Linked DNA regions of Nothobranchius furzeri. The protein of the gene in region 2 purifies or fractionates together with the protein of the main gene of each other region. This does not show direct contact. Links are inferred from orthologs where the notes say so. Each region holds a gene or a part of one and is shown on either strand. Other genes may lie near its edges.

The links.
Region 1: the proteins of stat3 (region 2) and hdac3 purify together in Homo sapiens (affinity purification with western blotting; 4 studies listed by BioGRID). This does not show direct contact. The link is inferred for Nothobranchius furzeri from reciprocal best matches to the Homo sapiens genes STAT3 and HDAC3.
Region 3: the proteins of stat3 (region 2) and trim59 purify together in Homo sapiens (affinity purification with western blotting; 4 studies listed by BioGRID). This does not show direct contact. The link is inferred for Nothobranchius furzeri from reciprocal best matches to the Homo sapiens genes STAT3 and TRIM59.
Region 4: the proteins of stat3 (region 2) and ptpn11a purify together in Homo sapiens (affinity purification with western blotting; 3 studies listed by BioGRID). This does not show direct contact. The link is inferred for Nothobranchius furzeri from reciprocal best matches to the Homo sapiens genes STAT3 and PTPN11.
Region 5: the proteins of stat3 (region 2) and hif1aa purify together in Homo sapiens (affinity purification with western blotting; 4 studies listed by BioGRID). This does not show direct contact. The link is inferred for Nothobranchius furzeri from reciprocal best matches to the Homo sapiens genes STAT3 and HIF1A.

What each region holds. Positions count from the first base shown.
Region 1 is NC_091741.1:31,103,497-31,107,592, forward strand, and holds the start of hdac3 (histone deacetylase 3), read left to right. Parts: upstream 1-1,288; 5' UTR 1,289-2,072; intron 2,073-2,169; 5' UTR 2,170-2,220; intron 2,221-2,308; 5' UTR 2,309-2,353; intron 2,354-2,435; 5' UTR 2,436-2,500; intron 2,501-2,576; 5' UTR 2,577-2,674; intron 2,675-4,096. UniProt on the Homo sapiens protein: Histone deacetylase that catalyzes the deacetylation of lysine residues on the N-terminal part of the core histones (H2A, H2B, H3 and H4), and some other non-histone substrates.
Region 2 is NC_091745.1:6,845,729-6,849,780, reverse strand, and holds the start of stat3 (signal transducer and activator of transcription 3), read left to right. Parts: upstream 1-1,249; 5' UTR 1,250-1,390; intron 1,391-3,680; 5' UTR 3,681-3,796; intron 3,797-4,052. UniProt on the Homo sapiens protein: Signal transducer and transcription activator that mediates cellular responses to interleukins, KITLG/SCF, LEP and other growth factors. Once activated, recruits coactivators, such as NCOA1 or MED1, to the promoter region of the target gene.
Region 3 is NC_091753.1:52,625,749-52,629,936, reverse strand, and holds the start of trim59 (tripartite motif-containing protein 59), read left to right. Parts: upstream 1-1,382; 5' UTR 1,383-1,511; intron 1,512-1,570; exon of another isoform or gene 1,571-1,735; intron 1,736-2,106; 5' UTR 2,107-2,161; coding exon 2,162-2,416; intron 2,417-2,489; coding exon 2,490-2,711; intron 2,712-2,794; coding exon 2,795-3,004; intron 3,005-4,188. UniProt on the Homo sapiens protein: E3 ubiquitin ligase involved in different processes such as development and immune response. Serves as a negative regulator for innate immune signaling pathways by suppressing RLR-induced activation of IRF3/7 and NF-kappa-B via interaction with adapter ECSIT.
Region 4 is NC_091746.1:40,337,717-40,341,230, forward strand, and holds part of ptpn11a (tyrosine-protein phosphatase non-receptor type 11), read right to left. Parts: intron 1,759-3,514; coding exon 1,564-1,758; intron 1-1,563. UniProt on the Homo sapiens protein: Acts downstream of various receptor and cytoplasmic protein tyrosine kinases to participate in the signal transduction from the cell surface to the nucleus. Positively regulates MAPK signal transduction pathway. Dephosphorylates GAB1, ARHGAP35 and EGFR.
Region 5 is NC_091758.1:31,049,924-31,053,437, forward strand, and holds part of hif1aa (hypoxia inducible factor 1 subunit alpha a), read right to left. Parts: intron 1,780-3,514; coding exon 1,589-1,779; intron 1,302-1,588; coding exon 1,150-1,301; intron 1,026-1,149; coding exon 941-1,025; intron 411-940; coding exon 301-410; intron 177-300; coding exon 1-176.

The DNA.
Region 1 (4,096 bases), on a different chromosome or scaffold from region 2:
CACTGTGGCCTTACTCTTCGTACCAAAAACTACAAGGCTCACATGATGAGGAAGCACTCCAACCAGTCAATAGATGTTTGCCTGGCCAGTCATCTGCAGTGTGTTTGTGTAGATGAAACTACAGGGTTATTTGCTGTGCAGAGAACTGGCCATGGATTTTCTGTGCCAGTTCACGTTCAGAGGAAAACATGGGGATGTCTCACAATATCAGATGTGAGCTGGAGGAATGTCAGCAATACCAGTTGCTGGCCCAGCGGAGCGGACTAGGCTTCAGTTTATATTAGCACCTTCGCTCACTAGATTACTGCCGAGAAACTGTGAAGGAGGTTTTTCATCAAGAGCACATCGTGATGGAAATGGTGGACCTTAAATGTTTTGGAGAGGCCAAAGCTGCTACATGCATAAAGAGTCAGAAAGCTGCCCAGATGGCACATGCTCCACTTTGTGTGAGGGTGGATTTTGGTGGATCCTCAACACAGATCTGTTTGTCTGTATTTGAGCCGGAAATACACAGTTTCTGCCATCTTGGCAGAATATTTGTGACTTACAATGCTCTGAGGAACACCTGGCATTGCGCTTGTGCAAAGCCACGAATATCGTGTCCTCATAAAAACATAGCTAAATGGCATCTCTTCCAGACACAGAGAGACATCTTCAAATCAACTGTACCACTATCATCAGGCACCCCATCACAGATGACTCAGGGGAGTTCTTCCTTTGAGGACAATGCTGCCGTTGAAAGGAGTATACGCTATATTTTTAAAGAGAAAAAAATTCCTGTATCTCTTCCAGAAAATGGATCATCAGAAACAGCTCTTTCCATGTGAAACGTTGTGCCAGGTGTGCCCAGAGCACCCAAACTTGATGAGGCTGTTCTAATCACCATTAAAGTGAGGATTGTCAGCATGATGGGAGTGATTGAGAGTAAGTTTTAATGAATATGATTAAACATCAGTGTGAAATAATTGGTTATTATTGTTCCTATACTAATGTTTTGACATTGATGTGATTTGTCTTTAACAGATGTTTCAACACACCATAGATTGTGTCCTCAGTGTCACATGGTCTGCAGATACCAGGAGTGGACAGATGGGCTTCACAACTTGGACAACCACGTTGTTTTGTCTCTTGAACTCTGCCTTTTTTTAAGAGAAAATCTGCAGGTGAGGATCACAAAAATAAAATATACTCATCTGAAGATTGCTTTAAAACGAGGATGGACATCATAGTTCTCCCTCTCTGGACACCTGCTCATTTCCAGTTGTGTGTAAGTCTTGTTTTTTGACACATACAAACTGTTAGAATGTTGCTATGCGTCTGAGATGTATTCAAGCTTTTATGACGCAGTTTCAAAAGTCTTTGATTGTGATCGCTTGCAATGACATCGTTTTCAGGTTTGAAGTCATGGCTAACTGTCTTTTAGGTACTGAAGCCACCTAAAAGAGAAATCCTCTTTCTTGACCCATTATACACAAAGGCAGGATTTGGTGGCCAACAATATGTTTCACTTTTGAGGTCACATTTTTATAAGCATTTTTGGTTTGTTCCAGAATTTTCAGGAACCTGTTCAGTGTCCCAGGTTAAGTGCATGATCATGTTCTGCTGATCTTGATTCTTCACACATACAGTACACTCACATGCTTTTTTATAAACTATATCAGCACGATGCTTCAACATTTTATTCTATTTCTCATCTTCACTTTCTGATCAAGTCAGTGATGCTGTCTTTAGATGAGTTTCAGACATAAATAGGGTCTTCAAACGTTTTAGTTTAACATAAAACACCATTAAATATTAGTTTATAAAATATGCCAGCCTCAAATTAAAGCTGAAAATGCTTTATTTTGACCAACTGTGAGCATGTGACTGTACTTTTTCATTTTGTTATGCTGTTTTGTTGAGGTCGTGTTCCTAAGGCCTGTAGTTACAGTTGGTGCTATTAGCAATAAACATTTAACACCCATCATGATGATGTCTGTTAACTTGTGAATGTGACTGTCTTGAAAAAAAGGAATCTTGCAGTGAAGCTCATTCCCGGGCAGTGGTCAGAAAAAAAGAGCTTTGACTTGAAGGTATGTGCTAGTTTAAGTGTATGGTGAATAATATGAATTACACTAGTCTTCTTTTAAGGGATTTTATTAATGAGCCTTTATTTTCAATGTTATACAGGGTTTTCCAAGACAAGACTATGGAGTTGACTGTGGGATCTTCATGCTGATGGTAATTTTTCTCTTCTCTTCTTGAGATTCATACAGAAGCTAATTTAAGCTTCTAAAAAAATTACATTTTTATTTTTTCTTCCAAATAGTCTGCTCTGTACGTGGCACTGGATGCACCATTTGACTATACTATAGTAAGTATTCTATTTACTTTCACAGCAATGGAGTCTTGAATCTTTTGAAAGTTGTTAAATATGTTTCATATTAATATTTTAGTCAGACATGCCCTACTTGCGTAAATGGTGGTGCTTGCTGTTGATGGAGAACTTTGATCTCAGGAGGTATTTATATTTTGACTTCTGTTCTATGTTGTGTCAAAGTTTACACACCTTAACAATATCAACATTTTCTGTTAAGCTCTGGCAAGCTGGAGAGAGGAAGCCAAAGCTGTGCTTGAAGGACAACACGTGCCCATTTTCAGACTGAAAAAGCGCAAGTTCCAGGAAGTCAGTCAGGTCAGTATTCACTTTAAACAGTAGTGTAATTACATGGTTAGTGACATTTGAATAACTGTTAAAAAACTGCAGCGTCTGCAGTGATGCGGACGCTGAGCCGATCTGTCGTGGGGAAGAGGGAGCTGAGCCAGAAAGCCAGGCTCTCGATTTACCGGTCGATCTACGTCCCAATCCTCACCTATGGTCATGAGCTTTGGGTAATGACCGAAAGAACGAGATCGCAGATACAAGCGGCCGAAATGAGTTTCCTCCGTAGGGTGGCCGGGCTCAGCCTTAGAGATAGGGTGAGGAGCTCGGACATTCAGGAGGGACTCGGAGTAGAACCGCTGCTCCTCCGGATCGAAAGGAGCCAGTTGAGGTGGTTTGGGCATCTGGTCAGGATGCCTCCTGGACGCCTCCCTGGGGAGGTGTTTCGGGCATGTCCTGCCGGCAGAAGGCCCCCGGGTCGACCCAGGACACGTTGGAGAGGTTACATCTCCAATCTGGTCCGGGAACGCCTTGGGGTCCTGCCGGAGGAGCTGGTGGACAAGGCCGGGGAGAGGACGGTCTGGAGCTCCCTAGTTGGGATGCTGCCCCCGCGACCCGGACCCGGATAAGCGGAGGAAGACGAAGACGAAGACGAAGTTAAAAAAACTGTTCTGCAACAGAGAAATAGCTGTGTTTTTATCCCCATTTACCTGACACAGGAGCCAGCAGTTGTTGAATATCTGCGTCCTGCTGTGCAGTGGGTTGTCCAAAACAATGCCAAAATATCTGTCCTTAAATCAAGGGGACCAGCAGAGGGTCTTAAGAGACATGTCAGAGGAAGACGACACTGGAGCAAGGGACATGTTCCTGTTTGTTTTTCAGTTTGCAGAGGACATGGAGCTCTTTTTGAAAGCACTTGCTGATGAGCAGGGACTAAGGGTCAGTGCTACTATGTTTGACATGTAATGGACAAATGAAGGCACTGACTGTGTTTGTTTGTTTGTTTGTTTAATATGTCATTGTTGTTGTTTTTGTTTTGTTTTTGTATAGTACAAAATTCCAATTAAACTTATTTCAAAATGTTGTTCACTTGATTCTATGTTCATACTTTTAAGAAAGGATTACAGAGTAACAGCATTAAATGTAAATGTAACAGCATTTTTTTTATACTTGTAATTTCAAAATAAAAAGCTTATTGTTGATATTAACAGTAAAGAATTGAAATCAATAATATTTGTATACATTTTAAACATTAGCACTCTGGGCTCTATCCTGGCCATTTGTGGCCACTTCACTTATTCTTTTTTTTTTTTCTTTTTTTTTTTGACTGCTGCACTGCAGTGGACCAAAAGAATGACACGGGTTTGATCTTAAGGATCTAATAGTTGTGTGTGTTGTGCATGACATTGCCACACAAATATGTATTTGCAAGATAGAGAAGAATAAATTATGACA
Region 2 (4,052 bases):
ATAAAGAGCAAAACATAATGGGAGGATACATCTCTTACGGTAATCTATTCTGAATGTGAAGTCAACTGCCTGTGGCAGCGTTCAACCTTTGTCACATTAGATCATGAGAGGAAACCGTGCAAGGCTCCAGACAGAAACAAGAGGAGTGCTTCTGTTTCTTCCTCCCTGCAGACTTCTATGACCTTGATGTGTTTGCAGGCACCCAGAAGCATTGTGGCAGAGGAAACACCACCCAAATAATCAATGGATGGGGAAATGCAATTAAGGAAAGTGTTTACTCTCTCTCTCTCTCTCTCTCTCTCTCTCTCTCTCTCTCTCTCTCTCTCTCTCTGTGAAAGCTAAGCAGTGAGAAAGACAAAAGAAAGCATGCGTGTGATCGTGTTACAAGTCTATGCAAACTATTACAACACACCAAGGGGAATTGTTATCTTTACATAAAAATAAATTATATGCTTGTAAGATTATCATTTTTATTTTATAGCTTTATCTTTGTGTTGATTTTTGACAGATATATAAACGATCTCCCATTACCTAAATGTGTTTTTGCAGCGGTGTAATTCAGTTTTCTTTTCTTTTCACTGTTGCATCTGTAAGTGGCGTATGGCCTTGATGTCACTGACTGTACCTGCCAGACTCAAGGTGTTTTGGCCAAACAGGTTCAATATTAATAAACGCTTATTACATAATCCACCAGTTTAAGGTTTGTTGACTGTTTTATCTATCTATAAATCCATTTATCCACACGTGTGTCATTTATAAATATTATTTTAAATAAACTTAGTTTGATTACGTTTGGACACTTGTATTAATTATTTTTGTCCCGTTAGGATTAACACTAAACTGCAGATGTGTTATTAGACTCGGTGACGTCAGCATTGCCAGTAACTCAGATGACTTCCAGGCTGGCTCTTCTTTTCAAACGCCTTTCCTCCCTCCGTAACAGCCGAACATGCTGTTCTTTGAACGGAAAACCCCGAGGAGGGAGGACTAAGAGGAACAGCCCAGTTGCGACAGCAGTAAACATAGCACTCAACCAAACATGCTGTTACGCCGCGCATCTTTTCGTCACACATCTGCTCTGATTTGGTTAACAGAAATTTCTATATTGCTATTTGCCACTTGGAATGTCAATCAACAACAGAAGCGCGTTTGATTGGCTGAAAAGACTTGCAGAGCGGCTGATGGGTTGGGCTACTGGCTCTAGGGTTGAAGAAGTGTTTCTCGTGTTGTTAAGGGAAGAGTAAAGGTTGGCATCTTTTGTGAGTGTTTTCTCTCGTTTATGTGGGTTTACCGTTTTAGAAGAAATTAAGTGTTGCCTTCAGTGTACTTTTAGTTAACAGTTTTCGGGTTTTTGTCGGAGAATCTTTCCAAAGACGTGACAACGACTCGGGTAAGCGACTGCATTCAAACTAACTTACTCCATCTTTATTTGTGAATGTTTTTTTTATGTAAACCCGTTATCAGTTTATATTTACTAATGGCCATGATATAAAAGGCTTGGCCAGCTGAACGCTGCTAAACGCCTATTTGTGCTGGTCATAAGTTATTCTGTGTGCAGAAACATTGTGTTCCGCTATGGCATATAGCAAAGTTATTATTGCCTTACTGCTTTTAATTAATTATTTCCGATATAAAATATTACAGCTAAGACGTTCAGTCTTGAATAGTTGTTTTTTTTTCTTTTGTTGTTGTTGTTTACTTTCAATAATGTGTTTTGGCTCAATTTATCAGTAATTTCGATCTGTTGGTAAAACAAAACAAAAAAAAATTAAAAAAACAGTAAAAGAGAGAAAGAGCATCTTCCAGGATATGAATATGACCCCATAAAATTCCAGGCCAGTGTTTGTTATAAGCCGTCGTTGTTGTCACGCTCATCTTCACCCCATCATGTGCAGAGCTGCATAACAGGATCAGATCCATGATCACTTTCAAAATTAAAAGAAAAGAAAAGTGTAGTATTGACTAATGACACTTACTATTTTAGTTTGATGATGTTACAACTGAAAAAGAAAACCCATTATGATCATCATTATTATTGTGTCCAATAACCCGCAAGTGTCCTGCCTGTTAACTGTCAGTAAAATGACAAACTTGGCATGATTGCTTCTTTTTTTTTTTTTGTGGAGAGCTCTACTTCCTGGAATGTGGCTTGTCTGTTTTAAGGAATCTCATTGTGCATTACCGTAAGTGGTAAATGCTCACTGACAAAACACACCTAACAAGATTAGAATTTTTTTTTTATGAGTCATGTTGAATATTGAAGTCCTACTCTGCCCGTCTGGAGTGTGAAAATACTCATATGATGGGATACTGACAAAATTAGGCCAAATCATTGTCTGTGTGTAGCTTTGTGTAACATGAGCATCTTCAAAAGGTTCCTATCATGTATCATGTGAAATGTGTGTGACCTCAGCAAAAGGTCTTTGTAAAATATCCACCAAACAAAGGGCACAGTCCTGGGACTCACCAGTGCATCAGTTTACAGAAAATTTTGGCTGTTTTTACCTTCTTAGCTAAACAAAAGAAGTAAATAATCAAGCACTACTGTGTCTCCTCTGTGACTGTAGACACTGAATAATTGATTATACAGCCAGGACCCTCCCCAAACATAATTAAATCATCAAAAACATGAGAGAGATAACTCCAGTAGCATTTATTCTTTTTGGATAGCAGGTAAGAAGGTAGGGCGTTTGTTCAAAATTTTCTAAATAAAGCAGTACCATTGATTTGACCATGGGCAATCCTCTTGTGATGTCACGTTTGTTGGGGTTTCACTTCCTCAGCAATTCTCACCATGTGTTAGCATCATTTTCATATACCAGTGAAAGAGGAGCATGTGTGATGTGAACTTATATAAGGTGACACAAATGCTTAAAAAACACCTTTTTAGCTCAGTTCTTATTTTATTACAGCGTATTAACTACTGTATCAAAACATGTTTGAATTTCAGCGTATTAAAGGATAAAATGAAAGCTTATGAAACACTGTTTTTCCATTGACCTTTAAATTTGGCAGAAACAGGTGATGCTGATATCCATCCATCCATCCATTGTCTGAACCCGCTTTGTCCACATATGGTCTCGGGGGGGGGGGGGGGGGGGGGGGGGGGGGGGGGGGGGTGTCAATGAGCAATCAGGCGGGGTACACCCTGGACAGAGAGCCAGTCCATCGCAGGGTGATGCTGATATCGCTGACCTTATTCTTTTTAGCTTTTACAAAGGAGTCACGCCTAAATGTAGAATAGCCTCCCTTCATATTCCAAGTCACGTGGCCTAATGTACACAGATTTACGATGAAACTATTAATCGTGTGTGCTGTCAGATAAGACCTACATAATGCTGATGTTTTGGGTGTTTTGAATGGAATAAATTATTAAATGTTTCTGTTTCTTTTAAATATGCTGAATCATGAAAGATTTTGACAGAATATTAAGTCCCAAGTTTTATCGTTTACAATTTTATCAACACTTACGGCTGTTTTATTTAGTGGATCGCATCATGAAACCAAACAGAAGGGCTGTTACACTAGCTCTGCTTTAGCTTGTGTATACAAATACTGCCAAGCTCATTGTACAAGTTAAGATTGTGTGCTTCACCAGAGTTTAGGTGATACCGTAACATTATCCTTGTAATGTAAGCATTAAACAAAAGCTTTGCTTTGGTATTTAATTTCCATGACAGGGAAGACGGCTCTGCTGGATTCACTGAATACCTTTTTTGTCGGTGTGCAGAAGACAGTAATCCTCCAGGGACCCATGCAACCTCATTTTGGTCAGATAAAAGCCTTGTGTAACAAGGTAAATGAAAGATCTGATCTGAAGTTGCATTATAATTCTAAGAAATGCAATGTGAAGTTAATCATTAAAGACAGGAATGGTTCTGTAGTTTCTGATCCATGTGCTCTGTCGCTGACAGCTGAGGAAAGGAAGTGTGTTTTTTTCTTCATTGTTTCTAGTAAGCCTTTATACAAAAAACATTGGTTGAGATTATTAACTTCTCTCTACTTCGAGAGCTGACAGCTGTTCAGGACGTCCTGTATTTCTTGGCGGAAGT
Region 3 (4,188 bases), on a different chromosome or scaffold from region 2:
TGACATGGGCTTGATGCTGTGAAAGTTTGACCCCCCCCCCCCCCCCCCTCCATCACCAGTCAACCAAATGACCCGTTCCTCTCACAAAACCACGTTCCTCAGCCTTTACAGCAACACCACTGCTTTTGCAGTACGGCTGCAGCAGCTTTCATAACCACAGGAGAGGAAAACCACGGCCATCCTGCGTAGAATTGTGAATCCTCCCCTTTGCATGTACTAAACAACAGCACAGTTATTTTTTAGGGTATTTTAGTTCCCTTAGGCTGTGAATACAGTGTAATTTTTTTATTTTAAGTAAAGCTGTGCTTAAATGTTACATGTTTCCCTTTCCCTGACTCCTCACTGTTGTCCGGTTTGCTAAATAATTATTGTTTTGCACATGTATTGCAAAGTGAGGCCTGAAGTCTTTCTGAAGGTGTTGCTGCTGGTGGGTTTAATATGTTTTGACCTGCCCAGACACCCTTACATTTAAGCATCACTCAGCCACAGTCTGTGTTTTCTGGAATGATCCAATGATAACATTTAGTGATACTCGAGACAATAATGAGTTTATTTCAGGAGCAGCGGTAGTGAATCTAATGTATCTCAGCTTCACTGGAAGGGGATTTAACCTCCCTGTTCACGGTCAAAGGTGTCCCATGCGTCAGACTGGAGATGTTCTAATGGGGGTTTCCTGAATCGTAAATAAACCCATGAACAGGTTTGCTGTAATTGTAGTACCTTGCAGAGTCTTTAGCCCTTTTTTGCTCCTACAAGCTAAGTGTACAAGCTTACCCTCATGTTTATTTTTCTGTTCACTTCAAACACTAGTGATGATTACACATTGTGCTCAAAACCTTTTGTTGAACATAGGGGTACTTTTTTGTTTTATTTTATTTTTTTGCAGCATTCCTTGTTAGCAAAGTGGTTTCAAATCAAAAATTATGACCTGGAAGGAATAGAAAAAGCCTATAAAACCTTTCAGGGGATGTTGGCTACCGGCTAAGTTGTCTTTAAGAAAAATAAATAGTGAAACACAAACCCAAAAGTGTGTGTGTGTGTGGGAGAGAGAGTGAGTGAGAGAGACAGTTCTGTTGTGAAATGAAGTATAATTAATCCTCTAGTGCATTTTCCTCCTGACGCCTCCCTTTCTCCTAATTGTTGGGCCTGAATTTAAACTGGAAAACGACGCGACCTGATTGGCCTGAGCAACAGATCGAGCGCATGCGCACAAGCAGAACGAGAAACTGTGCGTTAGGAACTACCGGAAAACTAAAACTTCCACATTTTACAATGGAAGACTTTTTTTTCCAAAAGTAAAATCTTACGGTGGCAAGAGAAGTTGCATCTTAAACTATTCTGGTCCCAAAAACTAATAAAGTACTAGACAGCTTTACCAGAAATGAGGTGAGACGTTTTATTTCCTGTTTAAGCTCGTGTTGCTGGACTTTACTGGATGCACCTGAAGGCAGCACCATCAGGGGAAATGAAAGCTGTTTGGGACAAACGCTACACGGCCGAGCAGAACCGCGGTGAGTCTAAAAACTTCGGGAAGACGGATTTTAAGGTGATTTGCGTCGTGTCACCTCACGAGAAAAAGACTGTGTATCGCAATAGTTGATCAAATTTACGAATGTTGCTTTTAAAGTAGTCTTTAAGCCTCCCCGCCGCGTGAGAGTGCCAGTTTTGGGCTAAAAGAAAGAAAAAAGGAAGCACAAACTATCTGGACACTTTAAACTCATCCCACAGGCCACAGGTAATGGTTTGATCCGAGACACCACTGTTGGCTCTGGGCTCTGGTGTGTGTGTGTGTGTGTGTGTGTGTGTGTGTGTGTGTGTGTGTGTGTGTGTGTGTGTGTGTGTGTGTGTGTGTGTGTGTGTGTGTGTGTGTGTGTGTGTGTGTGTGTGTGTGTGTGTGTAACGAGGAGAGGGGGTGGTCATTGTAATAAGTAATAAGATCCTGATCCAGTGTGAGCAGCACTAACAATAATGAGACATGAGAAACATCACGTAGTGTTTCCTTCAGGTATTTGTTTTATTCTTTGAGCATTAATCAGTCAGATCTTTAGGTAAATTCCAAATAAAGCTTGTTATCTGTTGTGAATTATTATAATTTTTGTCCAACAGGAACCATCCTGCAGAAGTGACAGACTTTGTTCCACCAGAGTCCTCTAGATCCGTCATGGAGACCCTTGAGGAGGACCTGACGTGCTCTGTGTGCTACTCTCTGTTCTGCGACCCGCGGGTCCTGCCGTGTTCTCACACCTTCTGCAAGACCTGCCTGGACAGCCTGCTGCAGGTGTCCACCAACTATTCCACCTGGCGTCCCCTCCGCCTGCCTATAAAGTGTCCCAACTGTTGCAGCGTGGTGGAGCTGCCCCCGATGGGTGTAGATGCTCTGCCCACCAATGTGTCCCTGCGGGCCATCATTGAGAAAGTAGGAGAGGCTGGCCCGTCTGTTCCCGTTTGTCTGAAATCCTTCTGACGGGCTTGTTTCTTTTTACTTTCAGTACCAGACGAACAATGCGCCTCGACCCCCGTCCTGCCAGGAGCACCACAGACAACCTCTGAACATGTACTGCATCCAGGATCGGCAGCTGATCTGTGGTCTGTGTCTGACCGTCGGGCAGCATCAGGGACATCCCATAGATGACCTTCAGGCCGCCTTCATCAAAGAAAAACAGACTCCATCGCTGCTGCTCGCCAGACTTTCGGAGCAGAGATGGGCGCAGGTGGGCGTCGGGGTTTGGGAGCAGGAATTCTGTGCCGTTTTTGTTTTGATTAATACGTCTAACGTCTTGTGGCTGTTGGTTAGGTGTGTGACCTGGCAGAGCAGCTGGAGCAGGACAAAGCCCGCTGTGAGGCTCTAGTGAGGCAGGACAAACAGGAAGTGGATCAGTTTTTTCTTGTGCTGGAGGGAATACTGGCCAGGAAGAAACACGCCTACCTGGAGGCTTTGGATAAAGCTGCTGCAGAGGTGTCGCTTGCATATGACCCCCTGATCCACAGAGTCAAGGAGCTTCAGGTGTGTGGACACTTCCACAATCCCAGTTCTTAGGGCTGCTTTGAAGTTTTGACTCATTTGTCTTCAACCCTCTGGGGTCCGTGGACGCTTATCCGCGTCTTTTGAACAGGTCTGATTTGGGACGCTGTAGCAGCAAGACTCCGCCTCCCTGAGTTTCCGTTTCAATTCAGCTTTAAAAAGGAGATTATAAACTACACCCCAGTTTTTAAATTGTGTTAATAAGCAACGTAAAAGCGGAGTTAAACTAAACTAAAAAATGACCTTTTTTTAGACAATCTGATAACTTGTCAAACAGCAGTTTAGTAATCCGTGAGAGGGAATGTGCTTGTGAACATAAAAAACCCACAAAAACATGAGATCCTTTTGCTGTTGCTGGAAGTCTCACATATTCAACTGATAAAAAGTATCATCATGTAGCTGAGAGAGAGAGGAAGGCCGCACGAGTAACGAGATGTGCGCAAAAAGGAGCCGCTTGGCGGGGAACGGAGTGGCGCGAACGGAGTAACAACAAACAGTTAGACAGATATTGATGGTAAACTTCATATTTTGGAGCGATCCGGACAGATATGTTGTCTCTGCAGTTTAGTAGGCTTTTATTAGGCTTATATAAAGGATGGTGAGAAGGATAAATGTCCACCAGGCAGTTCGGCTGTTTTTTGAACTGGAAGCAGAGGAAGTGGACGGAGACTCGCAGCCGGAGTCTGAAGCAAATAGCGAGGATGTTGATGACGATGTGGCAGATCCATCCTTCCTCATAGAAGAGTTGGGTCATGATGAGGTAGAGGATGAAGGCAGAGATCCAGCTCCTCGGAGATCCAACAAGAGGAGTGGGCGGCGCCGCGCAGCTGTCAGATCTCGATCTCCGCGGCGTGAGACAGAGCCACTCCCCACTCCAAAATGCATGCACATTATTGCCAAATTAATAAAATAAGTATAAATTCAGATAGTCCAGGTTGTTCTGAAAAAAATGATACCCCATAAGGCAAAATTTATTGTTTTTGTTAGAAAATACAAAAGACAAACCAAAATGAGTCAAAAACGGTGATTTACACCCAGGACCCCAGAGGGCTGATATTATTTTTTTTATTTGTTATTTGCCATATTTATTCATATTTTTTATAAATGTACAGTCTAGATTAACATTCTAAATTATAAAAAACATTCGTCATAAATGTTTGTTGGTT
Region 4 (3,514 bases), on a different chromosome or scaffold from region 2:
TTTAAATGTTTGCTGAACCCTGAAGGACAACAATATTATAATTTTCTTCAAAGGAACATAAAGAAAAAAGTATTACAGCCCCAAATTACAATGTTGGACCGGAGGATTGTTTGTATTTGAAGCATCCCTCTGTCCCTCAAAAACCCACAACAAACCAGGAGATAATTACAGCACGGCTGAAAAAAACTAAATAAAATCAGAAATCACAAACTTCATTCTCACATACATGTGGTCTCAGTTTTAATAAACGCCGACTCCAGGAAGCCTAAATGCCTTCCCCTCCTGTCGGCTCAGGGGTCCTCTGAACTAAAAGGAATGAATATAAGTGAACGGGACTATATAAGGTATTTTTGGTCCGCTTTGCCTTCCTATGTGTATTTTCTGGCTTTCAGTTATTTTCTTCACTTTACAATCCCAGAAGGTACAAATCAGATATGCTAACAAAAACACCATGACTGGTTCCAAATCAGTAAGGAATTCTCTCTCTTTTCCTCCTCTGAGGCTGCATGTAAACATCGCAGCTCTCTGTCTAAAGCCAAAAGAACCAGAAACATTGCCCCAGTCATTGGTTTCAGTGTGTGTGTTAGCATGATCACTGCAATGAAACACAGTAAAGATGGACCAGACAGAAACTCCATCTGACACTTTAAAGCAAGGGTCCTCAACTACATGTGTTCAAGTGCCAGATGCTCTTCCTAAATACAGTTCAAGTATTATTGTATCCTAATTTGTTAATATTTAAAATTTGTTTTCCATCTAAACTGCTTTGATTGTATTTTTGTGTTTGGAGAACGTAAACCATTATTGATATTTGGGACATGAATTTTGCTGCTAAACTTCAAAAGAAAGAAACAAAACAATTGTTTATAAAGCACCTCAAGATAAAAATCATGAAGCACTTCACAAAAACAAAAAAATGAAAATGAAATGAAAAGAAAGATAAAAAAAATGATTAAAAAAGTCCCCCAATTGGGGGGCATTAGGGCCCAAAGGGCTAGGGGGAGAGGTGTGATGGACCAGATGTGGCCCGCTGGCCACCAGTTGAGGTTCACTGCTTTAGAGTGTTTTGTTGACAGATTTGGGCAGATTTCGCACACACACAACAGAACATAGATAATTATTCAGTCTGGAACCCAGAAACAACATCTGTGGCGTGTCAACATCTGCTGCTGGTCCTCCGTGAAATCACAACCATCACAACAGACTGCTGTAGCCAAGTCCAAACAGCACATGCACGATTCCTCTTTTTATATATTACTGCATCATTATACTAAAGTAATGAAATGTAAGATTTAAAATACATTTTTGTTCTTTGCATCTCTCATTGAATTTTTGGATTCATGCCCAAGAAACCGCTTTTTTAACTTGAAAACAAATGAAGGAAAGAATTGTTTGATAGAATTTTAACAAAAATCGTGATTCAGATTTTATCAGAAGCCTCTTGCACCACACGGGCGAGTGTTTCAGCTCGATGTTTTTACTTTTGTCACTTTACTTTCTAAAAATCACCAAGCATTGCATAAAAATGCACATTCAAGTAGAATCATGGACATGAGCTCATACCTCTCCGACGTGGGGTCTGCACAGTTGAGTGGATACTTGAGCTCGATGACGTCTCCATTTTTCTCTTTCAGCTGCCCATGATGCTCCATGTAATACTGCACCAGCTCTGCAAGAGTGGCAAACTTCTCCCCACCGTAGAGGTCGTAGTAGTCCCCTGTATTTTGAATCTTAATGTGGGTGACAGCTCCATTTCGCCTAAACACAAGACCAAATAAGGGAACAGAATCAGACAGGTGTAAGAGCTCATCAGCAGAATCCAACAAGAAGTCTGCGGCTCATAAAAAATCCTGTCAGCGCAGATCGCTGTAGAAAAGTAATCCCTAAAATATTCCAACAGTCTAGTCCAGCTGCATCTTCAAAAACAACGATGAAAGAAATCACGTTTCTAGCAGATTAAAAGTCCACATGGTGTGTTTTTATAAGCCAAACTACTGAGCTTGAGCTAAATCAGTGGTCAACATTATGGCAGAATTGAAGATGAATGCGTGAACGTTTCAAAATCCCAAAAAAGCCAGTGTTTACAACTTTACAACCATAATGAACCAATTCCTTCTTACATGCTGAAACTAGACAAGATCTATTTAGCAATAGCAGCTAATTCTTAGAGAGTGTAATCCTGTGTTCCTGCAGAAATACGGAAATGTCTGAGCTGATTTCTGAGTTAGCAGAAACAACAGGCTAAAGCCGGGAAGGGTCATTTACACAATCATTAATATGGCATTGGGTTAAGATGTAGAGGTTCGTGAGCCGTTTAAAGCTACAGAGGGTTCATTCTCATCAAGAGGAAACTAGTAAATGTTACCAGACATGAAAAAGTCTTGTAATCAACACCAGGAGATAAAGTATAGCAGGGTAGAAATATGTGAGGGTTAAATAACTGTCACTAAAACATAATGCTGCAATTTCAATACCCCCTTATAAAGCAGAAAACCAGATATGAGCATTTATTATACAATAGCAGGAATATTCAGCTCTGTATCCCGAGTCCTTTCTGTGCAGAGTGTAACAGAATCAGATGTTGTCTCTACAGAATAACTCCACTGTTGTATGTCACTGATGAAGAATAGATCTGAAAGACAAAACTGTGTTTCATTTAGCTATTCAAACCAGACAGACAACCAACTACTGAGTCACACATGATCACCATTATCTCAGAAATAGAAAAGAAGAACTTGTGGCAGAGCTGGACCTGAGCAGATTTTAACGGCCTCACGGGGAATTCTGCAGTGAAGGAGATGTGCTGGTTAGAACCAGCAACAACTGGTTTCCCCATGGAAATGTCTGCTTTTGTCTCTGTGTGAAGTGCATACTGAGTACGACGGGAGACCGTACTGTTAGAATATGAAACTGCAGCAAAAATAACTTTGTCTACATCAGCCAAATTGACTTAATGACACTTCCTCTCACAAACGTATGACTCGACAGGCCCAGAGATAAAACCAGCTACTTTATTTTCATTAGTTACATTTTGGCTATCGCTTGGATAATGTTGGCGGTCTCGCTACATTCAAAACTACGAATCAAGCAGAATTGGATGCAAGTTATTTCCATTTTGGTGTAAAACACTCCCACAGCAACAGGCACGGTCAAAGTTTGACCTGATATAAACATTATTAAAGAGTCACTTATTTGCACATCCAGAACATACTGAGCAAGCCATCATTTCTTTCAAGTCATATTTGTGCTGGTGTAAGGCTAAGTCTGATGTTTGTTCTCTGAGTTGCTCTGCATCACATGCACATCAGAGGTCATCAGCCTGAACATCTGTCTGTTGCATCTGGACAAAAGACTAAAGCCTCATTTACACCAAGTGTGGAACAGATGCAGATCAGAACTAGAGGTCGACTAATATTAGCTCATCTATTGCCAATAGCGATGCCTATATGTAAAGGTCGTGGTCAGCCGATGGCCGATGTGCTGATGATTTTCATGGCTGATATCTGGGCATTTC
Region 5 (3,514 bases), on a different chromosome or scaffold from region 2:
TATGTGAACTTCATGTCCATGGTGTGGCGGCTGAGGAACGTCTTGGTGTCCAGAGGGACCTCGATGTTGGAAGGGTGGGGGATGGGGTCACAGATCAGAACCAGGTAGGGGAGCAGTGGCTCCATCTGCTCTGCTCGATGGTCATGAACACACATGTGACCCGAGCAGTGAAGGACCTACAGAAACACGTTTTCAAACCAAGAGGGAAACTTTAATCTTTCTGTAATTATTATTTTTTACTTTAAGTAACTTTTTTAATTTAGGAGCCCGAGATGCTCCACAGCTTCAACACTTCTTTACCTTCCATGTAGCCGACTTGACATTAACCGTGCGACCTCTGCTTGTGAGGGTGCATTTCATCCTCAGAAAGAAATTCCGTTCATTATTTGGTTCCTTGCTTTTTTTGGAGCCTGGAATCACAAAATTAAACAGATATGAATCCAGAGTGAGGCAGAGTAAGCCAGCAGTAGATTGCTCTTTTTTATTGGTCCCAACTCAACAATCTACAAACTGCCAACTGATAAAATTTGCATCAAAAGGAGACATTTGCTCTGATGCTGTGGCCTTGTGGTGAGCTAGAGGATAAAATGGAAATAGCTACCAGCAGTTAGAGCCGAGGCGGTATCAGTGAGCAAAGAAATAACAAAAAACACAGGTCCTAAATGTAAGAGTGAACCGAAGCAGAGAGAAGATTCAGCAAAACTTATCTCACTAACGAGAAGCAAAGCAAAGATCTGTTATTGATGATTAAAAGGTCGGAAGATTACTCAGCCACTGCTCAAAACCGGAGTGGATTTTTGTGTCGTTACTAAGCAGAGCTGACCACAGAGTGAGTTGGACTTTCTACCATCTGGAGCACCAACACACCCGACAGAGAGCTCTGTGTGTGCGCGTCTCGGTTTCTCTACACATTTGTACTCTTCAGTGCAACACTGCTCACCTGTTCTACAGAGGAGCATCTCTCTCAGCTCCTCCTGGTCGCAGGGATGTGTGAAGTCAAACACACTGTGGCCAGTCAGGTCAAACTGCAAAGGCAAACAAACAGAAATATACTTTTAAAACACAAATATATAAATAGAGCTACCAAGAAGTATTCATTTAAAGCTTAAAAATGTGCACTTATTTTTTAATTCCCTGCTTCAGACCCACCTGCGCCAGCCCAAGACACTTGCTGACATTCTCCGAGAGATAAATCATATCGCCGTCTTCAGACAGCACCATGAGGAAGCCCTCCAACGCCTTCAGGTAGGACCCGTTCAGCTGAACATCAAGCTCAGTTTCCCCCTCTTCCATTGGCTTATCTGGAGCATTGAGAGAGGGAGCAAGGTGGGTGATAAGCTAAAGGACAAATAACCGGTTCAAACAGCTGCAGACACAGAAAAACCACTCCTCTAGCCCCAGGTGTTTCTGCAGAGAGATTATGGCAGAATACGCAGTACCTCCTTTGTGTTTTCCACTATAGGCTACATGTAAATGAAGTGAATTACTCTGAAGTCAACAAGATAACAAATATGACAAGCATACTGCAGGTACATGGTTAACAGAGCAGTGGAATGGTTTATAATCATCTGTCGCTACAGATGCTGACCACTGCAGAGAAGGTTCCTCATGCGCAGGTAGCTGATGGTCAGCCTCATGATGGAGGCCTTGTCCAGGCTTGAGCTGGTGCTGTGGGGGAGAGGCAGCTGCTTGGCCAGCTCATAGAACACCTCCGACTCCTTCCCACGGCGGCATCTTGCTGCATCCCTTGATTTCTCCTTCCTGCGCTCCGAGCTCACCCTGCAGGAGACAGGAGGTGGATCAGCCTCATGCTGGGTTTGTTAAACGTAAAAATCCCTTTTCCCAAAACTGAAACATGTCTGCAGAGGCCAGCGCAGCTGGAGCATTCAACAGGCTGTCTCAGCCCAGCCAGTGCAATGCAAGCGTCCTATTGGCTGCTGAACAAACGAAATAGGACTCGCCCACTCAAATGACTACACAGGAAAGAGTCAGAGCTCAGCCATCCCCCCACCCCCATCCCACACACTGATTCAGACATTTTACAGTGCCATTTCGGCTAATGTGACCACCGCTGAATCAAAGCAGGGCTATTGATTCTTCAAGTGACTGAAATCACTACACTATAAAAACTTAATGAGACAAAATTGTTAGATTCAAGGTAAGAACAAGAAGGGGTGCATCAAATGGCCGCTTTCATTCAAAAAATGGTTGTGGGTTTAATATTATTTTGAATGATGTTTGCTGTTGTCTTGATTCAGAATCAAAAACAAAAGAAAAACAGACGATATTTGGAGAAGGAAGGCCTTTTGACACAACACTGGTCTCGCTCGGCGGCCATGTTTAAAATGTTCACTTGTTCACTCTTTTTATTGCTCATTGTCAATGGCGTGTCCAGTGAGTGGTCTGGAGCAGCATTTGCCACTCTTGGAATCTGACTGGCCACCCCAATGAGTTCCACTTAAATTGACATTAAGTTGTCCACAAAAAAATAAGGGTTAACCCCTAAAACAGTAGTCGACAGTATGGACTTTTAACATTAGTTTCTAGTCACAGGCCTACAGAACATTTGTGTATTATTAATTATTGTTTTCATATTGACAAAAATAGTATTCATAGTCCTGGTCCAAACTCACTCCAGTAGATGGCGGTAATGCACCAAGAAGTGGCTTGCTAACCACCTCAAAACAAGAAGTTGAAGAATAATGCAAAAATGTATTATTTTGTGAGGGGTGACAACCCCGCAGATCAAAACAAAAAGTATAACTATAGGTGCCACCCATGCATAAATTAGTGCCCCACTGGAGCCACCCATTTTAAAAGGCCTGGACACGCCACTGCAAATTGTGCCTCCATTATGTGCTTATAAAAAAATTTTTTTAAAGTCTGTGCTGTACTTCCTGTTCCACCTTATGTTGCTCAACATTGCGGTAAATAAACATAAACAAAATCGATTTAGAAAAACCGCGATGCCTCAAAAAACAGATTTCATCTCCCATTCATATGCCATAAATTTATATCACCAATCTTTGTTGCAAACTGCACCTCAGTAAGTTGAAATACATTTAGATGACATGTGAGCAGCCAGACGACCAAATGAACAGCTTAAAAACCCACAGCTATGAAATGCACACCTGATTGAAATTGATCTGGCACGCACTTACAGCACTGAATAAGGCCCTTTTGTTTTTGCCAGAAAATAGACCAGATAATGTAATTTGCAGGAGGCTAATTTTAGTTAACAGGCAGGCTGTGTTTCACACGAAAGCTTTCCATTACACACACGTGATGCACAAACCGATCCACGATAAAGCTAATTGGTCCTCTGCGGCTGGAAGATTTTCAATGCTGAGCCGAATCACCGTCCCTCGGGAAATAGGCTAGGTGCTGATTTAATCTAGCGAAAAGCATGTGGGTCAAAATTTCTATTCGGTGACATGAACACACAAACAGAAAAACACTCAGTGTTGCTGCTATTAAGTTCCATTTACAATTGGGAAGCTACAAAGTTATGCCA